4 linked regions of the Oryzias latipes genome follow. The protein of the gene in region 2 purifies or fractionates together with the protein of the main gene of each other region. This does not show direct contact. Links are inferred from orthologs where the notes say so. Each region holds a gene or a part of one and is shown on either strand. Other genes may lie near its edges.

Region 1 (4,391 bases), on a different chromosome or scaffold from region 2:
CCTGAACAGGGCCTTTTCCGCTCCCAAGATCTGAACGGTTGATGCTGGGTACTTGGCCAAGTTGGTCAAACTTCCAGCATGAGAGATCAGTCTAGCTCCAACCTAAAACGCAAGAAAACTATGAGTCGGAACAAAATTCTGAAACTCTGAGCTTAGGAAAATGTGCAGAGGACCATCAGCACCGATGTAGTTCTCATCACACGGATTCAGGGGATTGACAGATTTTGGCAAAACATCATTGGTCCAAGAAACAGACAGAGACACAAGCGTTTCCTCACCACTTCTCCAATCAAGGCTGCCAAGTTTGGAGCGACCTGCGACATCTTAGAGCGCAGATACTCCTGCAGCCCCTGGCGATACGCAGCCAGGGACACAACACGGTTGGAAAACCTCTCAATGTTGATCAGGTCAATTGGAGAGATGTCCATTCCTGAAAGGGAAAAGACGATAGCTATGAACAAAGAAAAGGACCAGTTTGTATTTTGAGCTGCACTGTGGGATTGTTTCTCCCGACAGGATCCGCAGTGAGGAGGACACGCCTTCACTACAGGTTTATGAGAGATATCATCTACCCCCCTGTGTTAGGCACCCAGGACGATTATCGGTCCAGGGTGGGCATAAAAGGGGCTTATAAGATCAACGCTACAGTAGGGTACTGGCTTAAATTCTGACCCATAGAGGAGCGAGACGCCTCCAGAATGGCCTGAGCTTTGGCACTGTCCATCACCACCTCCTCCAGGCTCTCCAGCTTCTCCTCTGTGAGCTCCTTCCTGTTGCCAATGAGCTGGGCCAGGCGGCAGTACATTGAGTTCTCTGAAACGATCTTGATCAGCTCCGGGAAGTGGTAGCCATACCATTCCCTGGAGTGCACAAGGAAACAAACTATGAATATCCTGTGTGATATAACCCTTCAAAACTAAAATGCACACGTTAGGGAAAAACCAGACAGGGAAATGTATCCCCCCAAACAGTGTGGCGTTACGAGATGTCAGCAAGTACCGCGCAAATGTTAGGAGAAGGCTGATGTACCTCCTGTTTCTATACAGACAACACTCTGAGGTGCACTGTCTGTGGTAAGCATTAGGAGGACACTTTATCTTTCAAACTTTTATAGAATTTAATTCAGTTTTACCCTGGAACCAAAACAAAAACATCCTAAACAACCAGCTTACCGCACACGCATGGAGAAAGTGTTGATGTCTTTATCCAGCTGATCCAACAAAGCAATGGACTGGATGATCATGTTGTCAGCCCGATTCACGTTAAACTTGACCTTCGCTCTGGAGTAGCTGTGACCCAGACCAAGCTGTGCCTTGGAGGCGGCGAGAGAGGTCAGACCCTTCACCAGAGAGTGGAAGTGAAGGCGAATACCTGCAAAGTGAAAGCAAACAGGAGGGTTTGTGGGCGCAAAAGGAAACTGCCACAAAACCGGAAACATCTGGGGGCTGTTCAGATTTTCAGTATAAACCATCACAAATGTCAGGATCAAAAGTGCATCACAACAGACCACCCCTTTTTATATTAACATTCACAGTAATAAAGTAATAACTGAGTTCACGTCTGTATTCAAACAAAGACATAACGCACCTCTAGTTATCTCAGCCACCACTCCACCGGTTTGTATGGAGATGTTCAGTTCTTCTTGCAGCGCAGCTCCGATCTTGGCATCAGAAACCCCTAAAGACGGCTTCTTCTTTCCAGATAGAGCAAGGTTTGTCTCCAGAAACAGCTTCAGATCAGCATGAACGACGCCTGCATTGGAAAAAACATCGCAACCTTTAGCAAAAACACAACCCGTAATCCAACCATGCAGCCAGCAAACACTTCTTATGCACCAGGAAATAGTCTTAATCACTAAAAGATGCATGAATAAACTCAACTTTTCCCCAGATGTTCAGCAGTAACATAAAAATATCATCACATTTTATCAGTGGATTGACAGATTGTAAACCATCATTACAGCTGAGAATCTTAAAAAACAAACCCATTCAGTAAATAAATACGACTTGCCTTCAGAAATTGCGTTGATGTTCTCCAGGGCGGCCTGGGCGGACTTGAAGGGGAAAAAAGCAGCCAAGCTCACCATGCTGTTGAACTTCCCGATGCTCAGCACGCTCTCCTCCACCTGCGACGGACACACAGACACCGTTCACCGCTCTGATCCACTCCCGACAACACACCAGACCGGGACACGCAGGAGAACAGGCTCACCTGGGGGAGAAGCATGCCGATCTCCTCCACCTCCTTCACGGCGAACAGCGCGTAGCCCGCCGCGTGCTCGAACAACACGTGCAGCAAAACCTGCGAAAGGTACATTTAAGTAAGTAACAATAAATCCCTTTAAGATTTATCCCAAATGACATTTGTAGTAAAAGTGGTTTTATTGCAAGTTGATTTAGGCAGATATGAATTACTTTAAACTGGAACCACGTGGTGGCTTGTCGAACCCACGTGTTTGACCTGGGCCCAGGCAAACTTGCTATTAAGCTAACTAATGCTAACTGCTTAGCGATTACCCCTTCACGCGGTTTTAAAATCCTTCAAACTCTGTATACATAATATATTTTGACTAACACAGCTGTTCATGTACCTTTTCACCAATTCAGTCTGTGGCTGTTAAAACAACTTTAGACACTCCCGCCTATTCTTTCCGCACAGGCGGCTAGCCGCAAAAAACGGTCGTCATTTTTTCCCTTGACTTTTTAAACGTCATTTGAACAAGTACAAGGGGATTTATCGCCTCTGCGTAGCTTCAAGTTGTTTCTTCAGAATAAAGGTGGCGGTGCACAAGAGTCATTTATCTTACCATGATGGCTAAATCTGCGCAGCGGCACACAACGTGTCTGCTCCGCTGCTTCCACACACGAAAAGAGAGCAGAAAACTTTGACATGACCCACATCTCGCGAGATTATACTGGCTCCTCCCTCTCCGCCTTTCTTTCACAGCTGCTGCGAGCTTGGCTTCACCTCTTGTTCACAATTATGGCACCTCCGAATTTTTTTATTGATCATCAACCAGTGCATTACATCACATTTTTTATTTTTATTGGAGTATTTATTGAATTATTTATTTAAAGCATCAAAATATAGGAATAATACAATAGAAATGACAAAACCTATATATATCTAAATTATTTCAGATTTGAAGTAATACGTTAATTAGAAAGTAAAGAAAAATAACCAAAGATAAAAGAAAATGGTGCCATCTCATTTTCTTGAAAGTGTAATAATCACAAATAAACATCTTTGCAAAAACAGTATACACAAGTCTATTCAGATTCATTCATCTGTATAGAAGTGTCTACTCACATTTAAGTCACACATTTTTTATCAAGAAGCTTTTTCAGTAAAAGTAATCATTGGAAATCATTTTGCATGGGCTTTGGACAGGCTTGGACAAATGTCATATTTTCCTCTGAGTCTTTCCAGTCTAGTATTTTTTATTTAATTTCTTCATTTAGGTATTTTATGGTTAAATTGCTGCTTACTCATTTTTTACACTAAATTGCTGCATGTCTTTTAATCACTAAAAGCACTTTTATTTGCTTTTATCAAAGCTACTTTCAAATCTAACTGTCCTAAGTTGATTAAAAGGTACTTCGCTTAGAAACATATTGTGGACAAAAAAAGGTAAAGAACTATTCTTTTGGACAGAAAGTAACTAAAGATGAAATGTTGCTGCAACAATGGAAAAATTATTTTAAATGTATTTTAATCCGAAAAATGCATTTTTTCTTCTTGAAAGCTTTTCATCAACAGGAGTGTTGAGATTTAATTATTCAAACACAGACCTGACACTCCAAAGAGACTAAATTACTGAAAATATAAAGAAAACACTAATCAGCAAAACATGTTTATTTGCAATAAAATACAATTATAAAACATATAAAAACTGTATAAGGCAGGTTGCATTACTTGCTGAGAAAAAAACTATTAGTTGGTCCAACTTTTACATCAAAAATGTGAATTATATCATGATTCTTTAACAGAAATATGACAAACGTTTAAAAAGCTACAAAGAAAAAATGAGCAAAACCAACAATAATGAATGAAAACAAAAATGGGAAAAAAGGACATCAAAATGGATGTGATTTATCTTTTTCACGTACTTTAAACATTATGAGGAATATCTTTTTATACAGGATAGTTCAAATTCCTCAGATGACTAAAACCAGGATTTCTGTACCGTACAACTGTACAATAAATAAACTGCAAGTGCAAAGTGATGGAAAAATGTAAAAAGGTTTCATGTGTCAACGTGTTAACGTGTTTTTACTACACAGGACTCTCAGAGCTGTGATTACAGACCCGTCACATAGAATTGTTATATTTCAGGCAACACACTCTCACCTCGACAGCAATAAAGCCTAACCACAATGCCATTTTGCTTT
Region 2 (4,460 bases):
CGATCAGAACCACAGTCCAGGTCCAGCCGGTGTTTACGAGCGGCCTTTCATCTTCTTGCGCACAGATTTGCCGGGACGTTTCTGAAAGCCCAGAAGAAAAATTCGGGTTACATCAACTTGACAAATTATTTAACGATAAATAAATGCATCTTTGGTTTTGTCTGTGTGGCTCACGTTTTGTTTTCCTTGTTTGCCCTTCTTTCCTCCCTTGGCGTGCGCCACTCTGGCTTTGAAACCAGAAACATCGTTGTAGCTCTCCTTGGTGTTCCACTTCTTCCCGCTCTTTTTGCCTCCAAAACCAAACTTTTGGTCCTTGTATTTCCGCTTAGCACTGGGGCTGAAGAATCCAAGGGAAAACCAGAGGAATTTAGAGAAAATATGACAGAAGCAAAAGAGGAAAAAAGCAGAGGGGAGAAGCTTTACCCTTTTTTGTTCACTGCTTTACTGGGACCTCCTGAAGAATTATTACCCATCTTCTGGTCTCCTTCCAAAAAGTCCAGTTTATCTGACATTCCTGGAATAAGAAAATGTAAAAGAATGCATCAGATTTGGCATTTAACAATTACAAAGTACATATCATGGCCACAGAAACAAAACCCAAGTCCTCACCTTTCTGGTATTTCTTTACAGCAGACATCATAGCCTTCTTCTCCTTCTGTCTCTTCTGGATCACCTCTATTTGGACCTGGCAAACAATCAGACAGAGGTTCCCTCACCATTTGGAGCACAAACACGTCTTCGTATCTACAGAGTGAGAGGCGGTTAAGAACAAGTCTCAGCAAAAACAAACCTTTTTGCCAAATTTCCGTTGCTCCCGCAGTTTCTTGGCCTTTTCAGACTTTTCCAAAATCATCTGCTTTGCGGTCAGCTTCTGCCTGATCTGGAAAACAAAAACAAAACAAAACAGGTTTGTTCCTGTTTTCCAACTCCTGTAAAGTAAAAGACTGCATTTTGTTCACAAACCTATTACAGGGTCTCCACAGATTTACAGAAGTGAATTTGAAAACCTTCTAAAGAACAATTAAAACCTACAAATCCGTACAAAGAAAATGAAACAAACAGCTGGAGTCTGGCTATTTCTTTCTCTACACATGCGTTTTGATCCGCTTGACCCTTTCTGTGCCACATCTATGTCTTTCAGCAAACTGTGCAGTTTGCTATAGTAATTACTAACAATCAACACAAGTAATCCATATTTTTCAAGCCATTTCTTCATGAATTTGCATCTTCCTAAAGCTTTTTAGTCTTTATGGGTCCACAGCCATCCATATTACAAAGGTCCAGCTTAACTTTTCTATCAGACATCTGCTACAAATAAACAGAAAGCCACATTCCTGCCAAGTACTATCCATGATTAATGTTTGGAGCTTAGAACATGTTAGAAAGCACACCCCCTTTAGCATGAATGAAAGCAAGTCACCTTCTGCATGTGCTGATCGGACTTGGCCATTTCTGCAAAGTAATCATCAGGCCTTCTGGTGTTTATGTCATGCTTCCTCAGGAGAGGGAGGGCCTCCAGGACTGTGGCTTGAGCTTGACGGTAACTGTAAAAGAAAACAAAACAAATGACATCATCAGTTTAAACAGCCATCACTTCAGTTTAACACAAACACACAAACCTGGTCATTTGTTTTTCCTCATTAGATCAAAACTTCAATAACTCTTTTTTTTCCCGTTTCTGAAAACTGTAAATGGTTGCTTTAAAAAAAGTTCCTTTAAAGAAAAAAAAGCTGTAGCCTAGAACACCATATGACCATTACAAAATCCTGTTACAAAATATTCCCACCGGTGATTTAAAAAAAAATTCAAATCTGAATCCTGAGCTCAATATTTTGAAATGTCATTTTATTAGAAAAAAATAAAAACACGCATGATGTGTTTTTACCAGCACCAATGTCAGGTTTATTGGGTGTGTGGAGTATCTTTAGTCAAAGCTCTAAATTAGGATCAACAATGACATGCAGTCGTACAAATGTGTAAGAACAAATTGCAGATTGCAATTATGACAGGGTAAAGAAATGTTTTGCAAATGTGATAACCGAACCCAGATTATGATAATACTTTGAACCCGAGGTCTAGAACACAGTGGTCACTTACAAGAACATCTCCCTCTGGAAATCATCCTCTGCATCCGGTCCTCCATTTATCTCAGCAGGAACTTTCCCTTCCACTTGGGATAAGACTGGAAGAGTGCTGAGGTCTAACCTTTCCACCCAGGAGAGGTCTTTCCGGAAGTCAGCAAGACACTCTTTTAACCCCTCCTGCAGCCATTAAACATGTTCACATAAATGCACTATAAATAATACACTTTTTTTCTCTTAATTTAAGAGTAGTAGCTTCATCACAGGTGTAACTAAAACTGTAAGAAAACCAACTTACCACATTGTTTACCAATTTCTTAGATTTATCCACCAGAACGTTCATTCCAGGTTTCAGCAACCCTTTGGTGAAGGCTTCCTGAAGCTACAGTTAAATAAATTAATACATTACCTTTCGTAAATTAGAATAATCACTTAGACCAAATCTTTCAGAGACAATAACTTTAACCAATTTTTTAAAAAAGGGGAAAACAAATCCCCAAAGCGTACATCATATAATGATAACTTTTAGCTGAACAACTATCAGAGCTTGAGTCCGGTTAGCATAAAAACTCACCTCTCCATCCGATAACTCGCTGCCTTCTTCCTCTGAATCCAGGCCGAGAAGCGACTCCTCTTCTGCAGACTCCATCGTGTTTACGGCTATAACCATAAAGAGGGCAAATCTTTCCAAACAACCAAGAAAAGTTAATTGTTTTGGACGCTTCGATTTTCCTCACGTGTACTAGCGTTCACGCGGGGAGAAATGACGTCATCGGAAGTTCTACAAGCAGAGTGCGCCGGTGGAAAACTGCGATCAAAACAAAAGGTTCCTACAAAAAGAAAATACATTCCACTGTTACACTCAAGAATAATAATGCAATGGTAATTTATTTATTATCAAGGTTGTTCATTTATTTATTTTTTCCCAAATTAAAATATTACCCGCAGTTTCAACCGGCAGAAAAAGAAAACAAGGTGAAACCTAAGTGTCTTTCAAATTCAGCTGGAGAGAGCCACCAAACATGTTAGTGTAAAACAAAAATGTAAAAAAATTATTATTATTATTATTATTATTATTATTATTATTATTATTATTAATAATAATAATAATAATAATAATAATAATAATAATAATAATATCATTATCAGCATCATCATTATTGCTGCACGGTGGAACATTGGTTAGCGCCCGTGCCTCACAGCAAGAAGGCCCCCGGTTTAAGTCCCGGCTGGGGGACCTGAACCAGAACACCAATGGGGGACCTGTTTGTGTGGAGTTTGCATGTTCTCCCCGGTTTTCTCTGGGGTCTCTGGCTAGGTTAATTGGCAACTCTAAATTGTCCCTAGGTGTGAGTGTGAGAGTGAATGTGTTATTGTGGCCCTCCAAAAGACTGGTGACCTGTCCATGGTGTCCCCTGCCTTCGCGCACAATTGGCGGTGATTGGCCTCTGGCATCCTGTGACCCCAAATTGGGACAAAACAGAAGAAGATGAATGATGAATGAATGAATAAATGAATGAATCATCATTATTATGGTTGGACTTCCCTATGTGGAGTATGCATGTTCTCCTCGTCCATTTGTGGGTTCCCCCAGGGACTTATGCTTCATAGGTTAATTGGTTACTCTGTCCCTTGGTGGGAATGGGAGTGTGTGTGGGATTGTGGCCCTGTGTCAGACTGGTGACCTGCCTTTCACATAAGTGGCTGGGATAGGCTCCAGCAGCCAAGCGACCCCAAAAGGGATTTAACGGTTTTAGATGATGAATGAAAGAATTATTATTATTATTGCTTTTGTTATTGTTGTTGCTGGTATTCTCAAAAAACAACACACACACCCGAAGACAAGAGAGCGTTTTCCTGACATTGACTCCATGAGCGTTCTCTATCTGCTGTACTGTGCGGGTGTTGAGGGGTCCCGGCTGCTGCCGCTGCTGCGGTGGGGGCCTTGGTGGGGGGGCGGCTGGGCTCTGTCTCTCTTTTTACATTCCATCATCCACCCCAGAAGAACATAAACACTCACTCGAGCACAGGTGCTATCTCACCTTTGCACAAGTTTGCGTGACTGAATGAAATGTTTCACATGTGTTAGTCTGAATGCATAAGTATGCGTGTGTGAATGTAAGTGGTATCCATGTAGACTTATTTGTGTGTGAACACTTTTGGAGCCAACAGGTGTGTTTGTAACATTTGAGTGTGTGCATGTGGACAAGCCCCGCCCATTTTAGATTTTTCATGCATCTTAACCTGTCAGTTGTGATTATAAAGCTCCAGCAACTTGTTGCTTTCTGAGGCTTCACGATCTTACCCTCGCTACTATAATCCCCCTTCTACCCCACCCCCAGTTATCTGTCATCCCTCTCTCTTCTTTCCTCCTTTTCT
Region 3 (2,387 bases), about 5.1 Mb from region 2:
CCTCCGCCACTCTGGCTGTACTCCAGACGGATTGATCGGCCTTCGATCTCTGTGTTGTTAAAGTTTTCCAATGCTTCTTTGGCATCCTCTGCGTTCTCAAACTCTATAAAAGCAAAACTAGAGCAAAAAAAAAAAACTAACATTATTACCAGGCAACACAGAATGCTGCTTCTGATTGATGAAGTATTGACATTCAAATTTATTACAATTGGTATTTAGCTACTGAAAATACTGAGAACACTAGAAAGATTTTTTATTGAAAACAATAATTTATACAGGTACAATTTTATTACAACTGTTTAAACAGCTTTCTTAAATTATCATTTTATCAAATATTCATCAAATCAAAATATTTGTTGCACAGCAGACATGGGCAACACCCATAAGCATGTAGGGCGAGCCTGTTTTGATCTGTGCACTGGCTCTGCTTCTCGTGCGAATCCGTACAGAATCATGGATGCGATTGAGAGGAGCTCATGAGAAGGTGCTCTAGAATTGTAAACAATAACCGTCTTCTCCAGCACTTACCCTTTAGGTCTGCCGTCCCTTTGAGGAATCCTTATGGAAGCTGCTTTTTCAAACGTAGACTGTAGAACATCTTCTGTGGCACTGAAGGCCAGATTATTTACAACCAACGTTTTGTTGACTCCTCCTGATGCTAAACGGCAACAAAAAGGGTAGAAATTGTTCAATTCCCAATTAACTTTCATCACACCTAAGCAGGTTTTAAGGTTTGAGCATTTGAACCAGTTACTGAGTACATATATTTAAAGGATTTTACTAACAGTTCTGGGTAGTTACATATCATCAATACAGGACTCAGTACCTGACATTCTGCCACCTTTTTGGCTCTTATCTCCAACAAAGTCTAAAATGATGGACCTCCCTTGCACATCGGCTCCCTGGGCCTCCTCCATCATCTTCTCTGCGACAGCTTCAGATTTGAATTCAATGTAGGCAATGCTGCATTAAAGAAACAGAAAAGCTGATATGAGGACAAGGTAAGATATAACTAGAAACAATTGGGCATAAGGCTGGTAAGTTATTTTAAAGATTTCAAACTATAAAAGTGACTTCTGTAATTGAGTTTTTTCTTACCCTCTATTTGAACCGTTTTGTCCCTGAGGTAACCGGACATCAACCGCATCTTCAAACAATTCCTTCAGGTCATCAACCGTGGCAGAAAACGGAAGATTTTTAACAAAAAGGGTCCGCGCATCTCTCTCTGTAGAACCAATATCAATTTTAGAAAAACACTGATAATACAGACTTCAAACATTTAGCAGACAAACTTTGCAAAGGTGCATGTTTACCTTTCTTTCCTTCCTGTGAGTTATCTTTCTGACGGGCCTTGTCCAGCTTTAGTTCTTGACCCATGAATTTCTTGCCATTAAGCTCCATTGCCTTGTTCATGTCTTCCTCTGAGGCAAAGTCAACGTAGCCAAATTTCCTATTGAAGCAAGATGCAAAATTAGAAAATTAGACCTCAAATTAAATCTACCTTAAATGAACATCAAAGGTTTTTGGCTGAACTCGTGAATTTCTTTATTTAAGATCACAAAAACATTTGAGTTGTCTTGAATTCAGTCGCTCTTCTCCAACCCCTAAAAATGAATCATTGCAGGATCGCTATATCACACATTGTGAAGCAAGCAACAAACATTTTGAACAACACTCTTAAAAAGCTTAAACTTGTGGTGCAATGCAATTGAAACCGGGGTAACCATATATTTATTTGAGTTAAAACAAGTGAGCCATGAAAGGAAGCAATGACCAGGAAGACCTTTAAAAGGACAAAGGTTCCCAAATGACTGTGGGGAAAACACCCCTACATCTCAGGTTTTAACACACATTCTTGTCCGGGCAAGACGTGTGTGTTTTTTTTTTAAACTTACTTGGAACCTCCTAACCGGACATCAACAATCTCTAGACTGTTTTTGGAGAAGAATTTTCTGAGCGAGGCTTTGATTTCGTCAAAGTCTTTGTTGGAGTTGAGGTTTCCAACAAACAAGCAGAAGCCTGGAAAAACACAAAACAACAGTTTTTACAATCCAAATGTGGGTGAAAGCAATAAATGCAGAATAAGGCCAAGCATATTCAGAATAATTCAAGGTGACATCACACATCAGTATTAAGTCCCTTGTTGATCATCATGAGAAATAAACTTCAGAATGATAAACCAACATGTCTGTACTTGCCTTCTCCATCAGACTTTGCTTTCTTAGCAGGAACTGGTTCTTTCTTTCCATCTGCCTTTCTCTTTGCAGCTTTAGCTGGGGCTTCTGTTCAGACAGAAAAAAGACTTTGTACAAAGTTGTATGCAGGAAATGTTTAATTTTTTTTCAATGCAAAATCGAGACCAAAAATATTTGTTACTTATATTCATG
Region 4 (4,379 bases), on a different chromosome or scaffold from region 2:
AATTACAAAAAAAAAATTCGGGGGGAATCATGTTTTCTCTGCGGGTGATTTGGATGAGAGAAAGTTCTTCAATCTCAGCTCAATCCCATTATCTGCGCGCCATCTGCTGCCGTTGCCTCTTGGACGGTTTGAATTTGTGCTTCTTCTCAGCTTTAGGCTCAGGGGGCTCCGTCTGAATTTCAACAGGTTTTTTGTCGGCCGGTGTCACAAAGACGTCAGCTGTGACATCTTTCTCCAAATCCTCTTTGGCGGCGCTCCTCTTCACTTTCTGCATCTCCTTTAAAGTCTGCTTCTCACGGACCTTTGCTGCAGCCGCCAGGCGGAGCTGTCGCCGGTGCTGTCGGCACAAGACACAAGAAAAACCCTTCAACTGCCTGCACGCACCGATTCCACTGCTCTACTGAACGCTGAGGTACAGGAACCTTTAAGGTTAGGAACATCAATGCACTAGAAACCGTCTGAAGGCAAACGTCCATCATACCAACAATAAATACTTCAGGAAAAGTTAGAATTCAGATGACAAATGCCTCATCATATCTTACCAAGTTAGGAGACTTGAAGTTTGGATTTTCGTAGAGTGTCGGTCCTCCAAAGCTTCCTTGAAAAATCTTAATGAGGTTGAGGACAAATCGAGGCCCAATCTCCACCAATGAGGCGTCCTCTTCAATGATCTGAGCACAGAATAATCAGGAATCAGGCAACAGGTTGCCTCTAAGTGGGTGTAACCACCTGAAATGAGGTTTTAGGCCACATTTTCTGAAGTTTGACAACATGCCTGGTAGTTTCGGAACCATATTCTGTTATCTGCGATGGAGAAGGTGAAGACATGGTCCACAAAGGGCTGGCTCTTTGGGTGATAGCGGGGAGTGGAAAAGGTCTACAAGCAAAAAAAGTTCTTCCTTTAAATTAAAAATGTCAGTTGTTTTGTAAACATGCATCTCCAAACCAACATAACCCCCCTGAACCCTTTATGTAATACTGAGGATGAAGTGCTTCTAAATCCTACCTGAATAAAAAGTTCCTTCAGTAAAGCATAGTGGGGCTCCTTATCGAATGTCTGTGAAAGAAAAAGAAAAAGAAATCAAAATGTACAACTTCAAATGGCATAAATGTATGTTCTCCAACATAAAAACAGGAAGCTGGATCATTCTGAGGACTAAAAACAACAGACAGACATTTTTAGGGCTTTTTGTGTTACTTCCTTATTTTAATGGTTTAAAAACCTGTTTAAGTTTAACAGCTGTCTTTTCCTGATAATAAATCTGGACTGATGGCAGAAAAAAGGGGAACAATAGCTTGTCAAGCATTTCCTGGCTTTTCTGACTCCACGTTACCTACAGGATCAAACGAGAGCAGCGGTCTGGATCCCTTCAAGCAGTTTCCTGTCATCTTGAGTTCAGCCAGAGTATGAACTATAAGGAAGCAAAACATCGTCAATCGCATTTACGCTACACTTCTACATAACACTGATTTACAAGAGTAGAAAACTTACTGTTCTGAACCAGAAACTTTGCAGAAGGTCCATGCGGGCAATTAGAGATCCTGAAATGTGTTAAAATGTGTCAAACTTTGTTCAAATAAAATAAAAATAAAAACTTCAGGAGCGTGTGTAAACCTCGAATCAGACACTTACCACATGTAGAGATCCTGCTTCTTTTTGGCTTCAAAAAAGAGGCATTTATTGCAGTTCTTGATCTCGCAGACCTGCAGAAAAAAAAAAAGACATCATCTAGTGTTTCTAGTAGGTCACAGTAGCTCAATTTCAACTGCAGGCGTACCTCATTGACAACAAACAGCTTATCCTTCCTGTCCATTTTTGTATCTAAGTAGAAAACAAAACAAGTGACGTGTTTTCTGCTCATCCTGCAGTCACTGCTTCTCAGTCTAAACATATTGAGTTATTTACCTGCTTTTGAATGAGGCATCAAGGTCCTCAAGTCCTGCATCAGATGCCTCGTCCTGAAGTTGATTCCTCTGGAGGAGAAAATAAGAACCCGTTCCTTGTTGGTCCATTTTCCCTGTTTGTGAGACAGACGTTAGGATATGATCACAGGCAGAGGCGGGTATCATTAGAAAAGAAAAATATGAATTTGAAAATTTTTCTCAAGTAGACGTCAAATGTAGTTTTCCCGAAATAAACCCGAATAAAAAAGTAATATAGATAAAATAACAAATCCAACTACGTACAGAGCGACAGTTTGAACTTATATATGCTAGCATGTTGACATCATTCTAATTACAGGTATTATTAAGGAACATCTTTTGGTTTGAGTTTTTGGCAATAAGGCTGCCTGATGTCAAAGACTTCTTGACTTTTGTCGGATGAAATTATAAACAATAAAGACCTTCATTTTTTTGTAATTGAAAGTATAATTTTGTCCTAGTTTGAGGATGTTTTCAGTTTATTTATATATTTATATTATTGAATTAATAAACTTTCTCAACGTACTCGTAAATGTAACCAAGTATTTTCTTGCCTTAACAGATCACAGATTAAAATGCTGCATCTTAAACTTTTGAAATAGTTTGCTTTTTTAGTCTCCGTGGCACTTTTACATATAGTAAACCGAACAAGACATATCATGTCAGTGAAAACAACACTGAAAAACCATTAGCAAGTTAGCTAAAACTAGGCTAATACTCTTCTTTAAAAGCTGCGAGCACTTACCATGGAAACCGGCTTAGGGACGACTATTTCATTTACCGCGTTCTGTTCGGTGTTCCCATCATCTGCGACGAATTTAACCTTTTTTGTTGTTTTTTCAGCTGTAACATGCACTCCACGTTTTCTCTTGAAAGCCGCCATGTTTCTACAGTAGACAAGATTCTTCAGAAAGCTCGCTCAAAAAGGTAATCCAAGCAAGTCGAAGTCGAAGTAGAGACCCCTAGCGGCGTGGAGGCTGTACTGCAAACGAGAAAAGTAAATTTGAGTTTGTCCTTGTTCAGCTTTCTTAGCTGTGCGTAGACGTCTAAAAAAACATCTGTTGTGATTTTTGACAGTATTTAACAGGTACAGCAGTGAGTCAGACAGTTAGATTCGTGTTTCAGATTAATGTTCTCACATTAGGCATAAAATAGAGTTTTAAGAAATGTGCAAGACTTCTACATTTTCTGCAAAACGTCCGTATGTATCATGTCAACCATGGATGGAAATATTATTTAAACCAGCTTATATAACAGAATTAAACCCCATCTGGTGACTTATACATTAAAAATGACCACGCAAATCAACAAAATTGTATGAGTAGAAAGTGTCGCTTTTTTGGTCCACAGGTTGCAGCAAACTCAAACCAGAAATTTAGCTTCTACGTAGAAGAAGAAAACGTGGCACATACTTCTCGCGAGATTTAGCGGCATTAAGACAAGTCAGTATTCAAATCCTCGTAACACTGTCCAAATTGACGACAACAAAATTGACAACTCTTTAATTATTTGAATTATAAACCTTAGATTTGGACATGGAAGGTTTAATTATAACACGACTTTTGTAATGTAATAAAAAGTACCTTTTTTATTCCTCTAATAGATAGCAGAGAGGCTAGCTGTTTGCTAGCATGCGGCAACTGCAGAGTGAATGCTAAAGGTACAACGTGGATAAGAATTAGTGTTTTAAAAAGATAAAAGCCACATTTTTATAAAGATGAAGTGTCACTATGATATTTTGGGTGTTAAACGAGACGCAGGAGACGACGATCTGAAGAAAGCGTATCGAAAATTAGCCTTAAAATGGCATCCAGGTAAGTGTTGAAAACAGTTTCTTTCTGCCGGCGGCTGGATGGGAAGATCCTATTAATCAAAGCATTTGTTATTGTAATTTTAATTATTATTATTATTATTAAAATGTCTTGGAGAAAGAGAGTCTGTTGAGACGCTTGTAATTATGTTTTTTTTCGCGATGAGTATCCCATCAACATAAAACGTTACAAAATAAAAGCTGTATTCCTTCAAGATCCGTTGTATATGTTATTTTTATTTTCATTTATTGTATATGTATTTGGGCTTTTTTTTACATCATGGCCTGGGGACTTTAGAGGAAATTAGAGTTTGACTAATTCGTGCTTTTTAACTGTGAATAACCACATTCTTTTTTTCAAATAAATTCCCTTGAATAAACTACTATTACTATTACTGTAAGTGTCTTCTGCCCTGTATCTTATAACTTCCATTACATCAGGAAGATCAACCTAGGCCTAAATGAGATTTTTTTCCACAGCATAACTATATTTTAACTTAATGATTAGTAAACACTGTGGGCCAAGATGATGACAACATTTTCAGAATCCCTGTTTAAACATTTGAAGCATTGATAAGAACTTTAGCATCTTCTACTCTTCTGAAAAGGCTTCCACTGTGTGTTTGTGTGTTGATCATTCTTGCAG

The links.
Region 1: the proteins of ebna1bp2 (region 2) and nop56 purify together in Homo sapiens (affinity purification with mass spectrometry; 4 studies listed by BioGRID and IntAct, with this or other methods). This does not show direct contact. The link is inferred for Oryzias latipes from reciprocal best matches to the Homo sapiens genes EBNA1BP2 and NOP56.
Region 3: the proteins of ebna1bp2 (region 2) and ncl purify together in Homo sapiens (affinity purification with mass spectrometry; 3 studies listed by BioGRID and IntAct, with this or other methods). This does not show direct contact. The link is inferred for Oryzias latipes from reciprocal best matches to the Homo sapiens genes EBNA1BP2 and NCL.
Region 4: the proteins of ebna1bp2 (region 2) and brix1 purify together in Homo sapiens (affinity purification with mass spectrometry; 4 studies listed by BioGRID and IntAct, counting the BioPlex papers as one, with this or other methods). This does not show direct contact. The link is inferred for Oryzias latipes from reciprocal best matches to the Homo sapiens genes EBNA1BP2 and BRIX1.

Annotation. Positions count from the first base shown.
Region 1 is NC_019863.2:17,294,735-17,299,125, forward strand, and holds the start of nop56 (nucleolar protein 56), read right to left. Parts: upstream 2,927-4,391; 5' UTR 2,810-2,926; coding exon 2,807-2,809; intron 2,321-2,806; exon of another isoform or gene 2,302-2,320; coding exon 2,212-2,301; intron 2,126-2,211; coding exon 2,011-2,125; intron 1,753-2,010; coding exon 1,588-1,752; intron 1,372-1,587; coding exon 1,173-1,371; intron 861-1,172; coding exon 673-860; intron 620-672; exon of another isoform or gene 499-619; intron 431-498; coding exon 279-430; intron 103-278; coding exon 2-102; intron 1-1. UniProt on the Homo sapiens protein: Involved in the early to middle stages of 60S ribosomal subunit biogenesis. Required for the biogenesis of box C/D snoRNAs such U3, U8 and U14 snoRNAs. Part of the small subunit (SSU) processome, first precursor of the small eukaryotic ribosomal subunit.
Region 2 is NC_019862.2:16,838,007-16,842,466, forward strand, and holds the start of ebna1bp2 (probable rRNA-processing protein EBP2), read right to left. Parts: upstream 2,861-4,460; 5' UTR 2,752-2,860; coding exon 2,656-2,751; intron 2,464-2,655; coding exon 2,380-2,463; intron 2,262-2,379; coding exon 2,098-2,261; intron 1,545-2,097; coding exon 1,421-1,544; intron 881-1,420; coding exon 791-880; intron 686-790; coding exon 610-685; intron 515-609; coding exon 424-514; intron 338-423; coding exon 175-337; intron 82-174; coding exon 34-81; 3' UTR 1-33. UniProt on the Homo sapiens protein: Required for the processing of the 27S pre-rRNA.
Region 3 is NC_019862.2:11,722,664-11,725,050, reverse strand, and holds part of ncl (nucleolin), read right to left. Parts: intron 2,283-2,387; coding exon 2,199-2,282; intron 2,155-2,198; exon of another isoform or gene 2,098-2,154; intron 2,020-2,097; coding exon 1,896-2,019; intron 1,451-1,895; coding exon 1,314-1,450; intron 1,226-1,313; coding exon 1,099-1,225; intron 964-1,098; coding exon 827-963; intron 659-826; coding exon 529-658; intron 487-528; exon of another isoform or gene 352-486; intron 118-351; coding exon 1-117. UniProt on the Homo sapiens protein: Nucleolin is the major nucleolar protein of growing eukaryotic cells. It is found associated with intranucleolar chromatin and pre-ribosomal particles. It induces chromatin decondensation by binding to histone H1.
Region 4 is NC_019870.2:9,826,644-9,831,022, forward strand, and holds the start of brix1 (ribosome biogenesis protein BRX1 homolog), read right to left. Parts: upstream 2,851-4,379; 5' UTR 2,807-2,850; coding exon 2,669-2,806; intron 2,019-2,668; coding exon 1,907-2,018; intron 1,823-1,906; coding exon 1,779-1,822; intron 1,705-1,778; coding exon 1,634-1,704; intron 1,543-1,633; coding exon 1,493-1,542; intron 1,413-1,492; coding exon 1,339-1,412; intron 1,058-1,338; coding exon 1,007-1,057; intron 878-1,006; coding exon 776-877; intron 672-775; coding exon 543-671; intron 338-542; coding exon 89-337; 3' UTR 1-88. Other genes in the region: dnajc21 (dnaJ homolog subfamily C member 21), read left to right, coding at 3,641-3,737. UniProt on the Homo sapiens protein: Required for biogenesis of the 60S ribosomal subunit.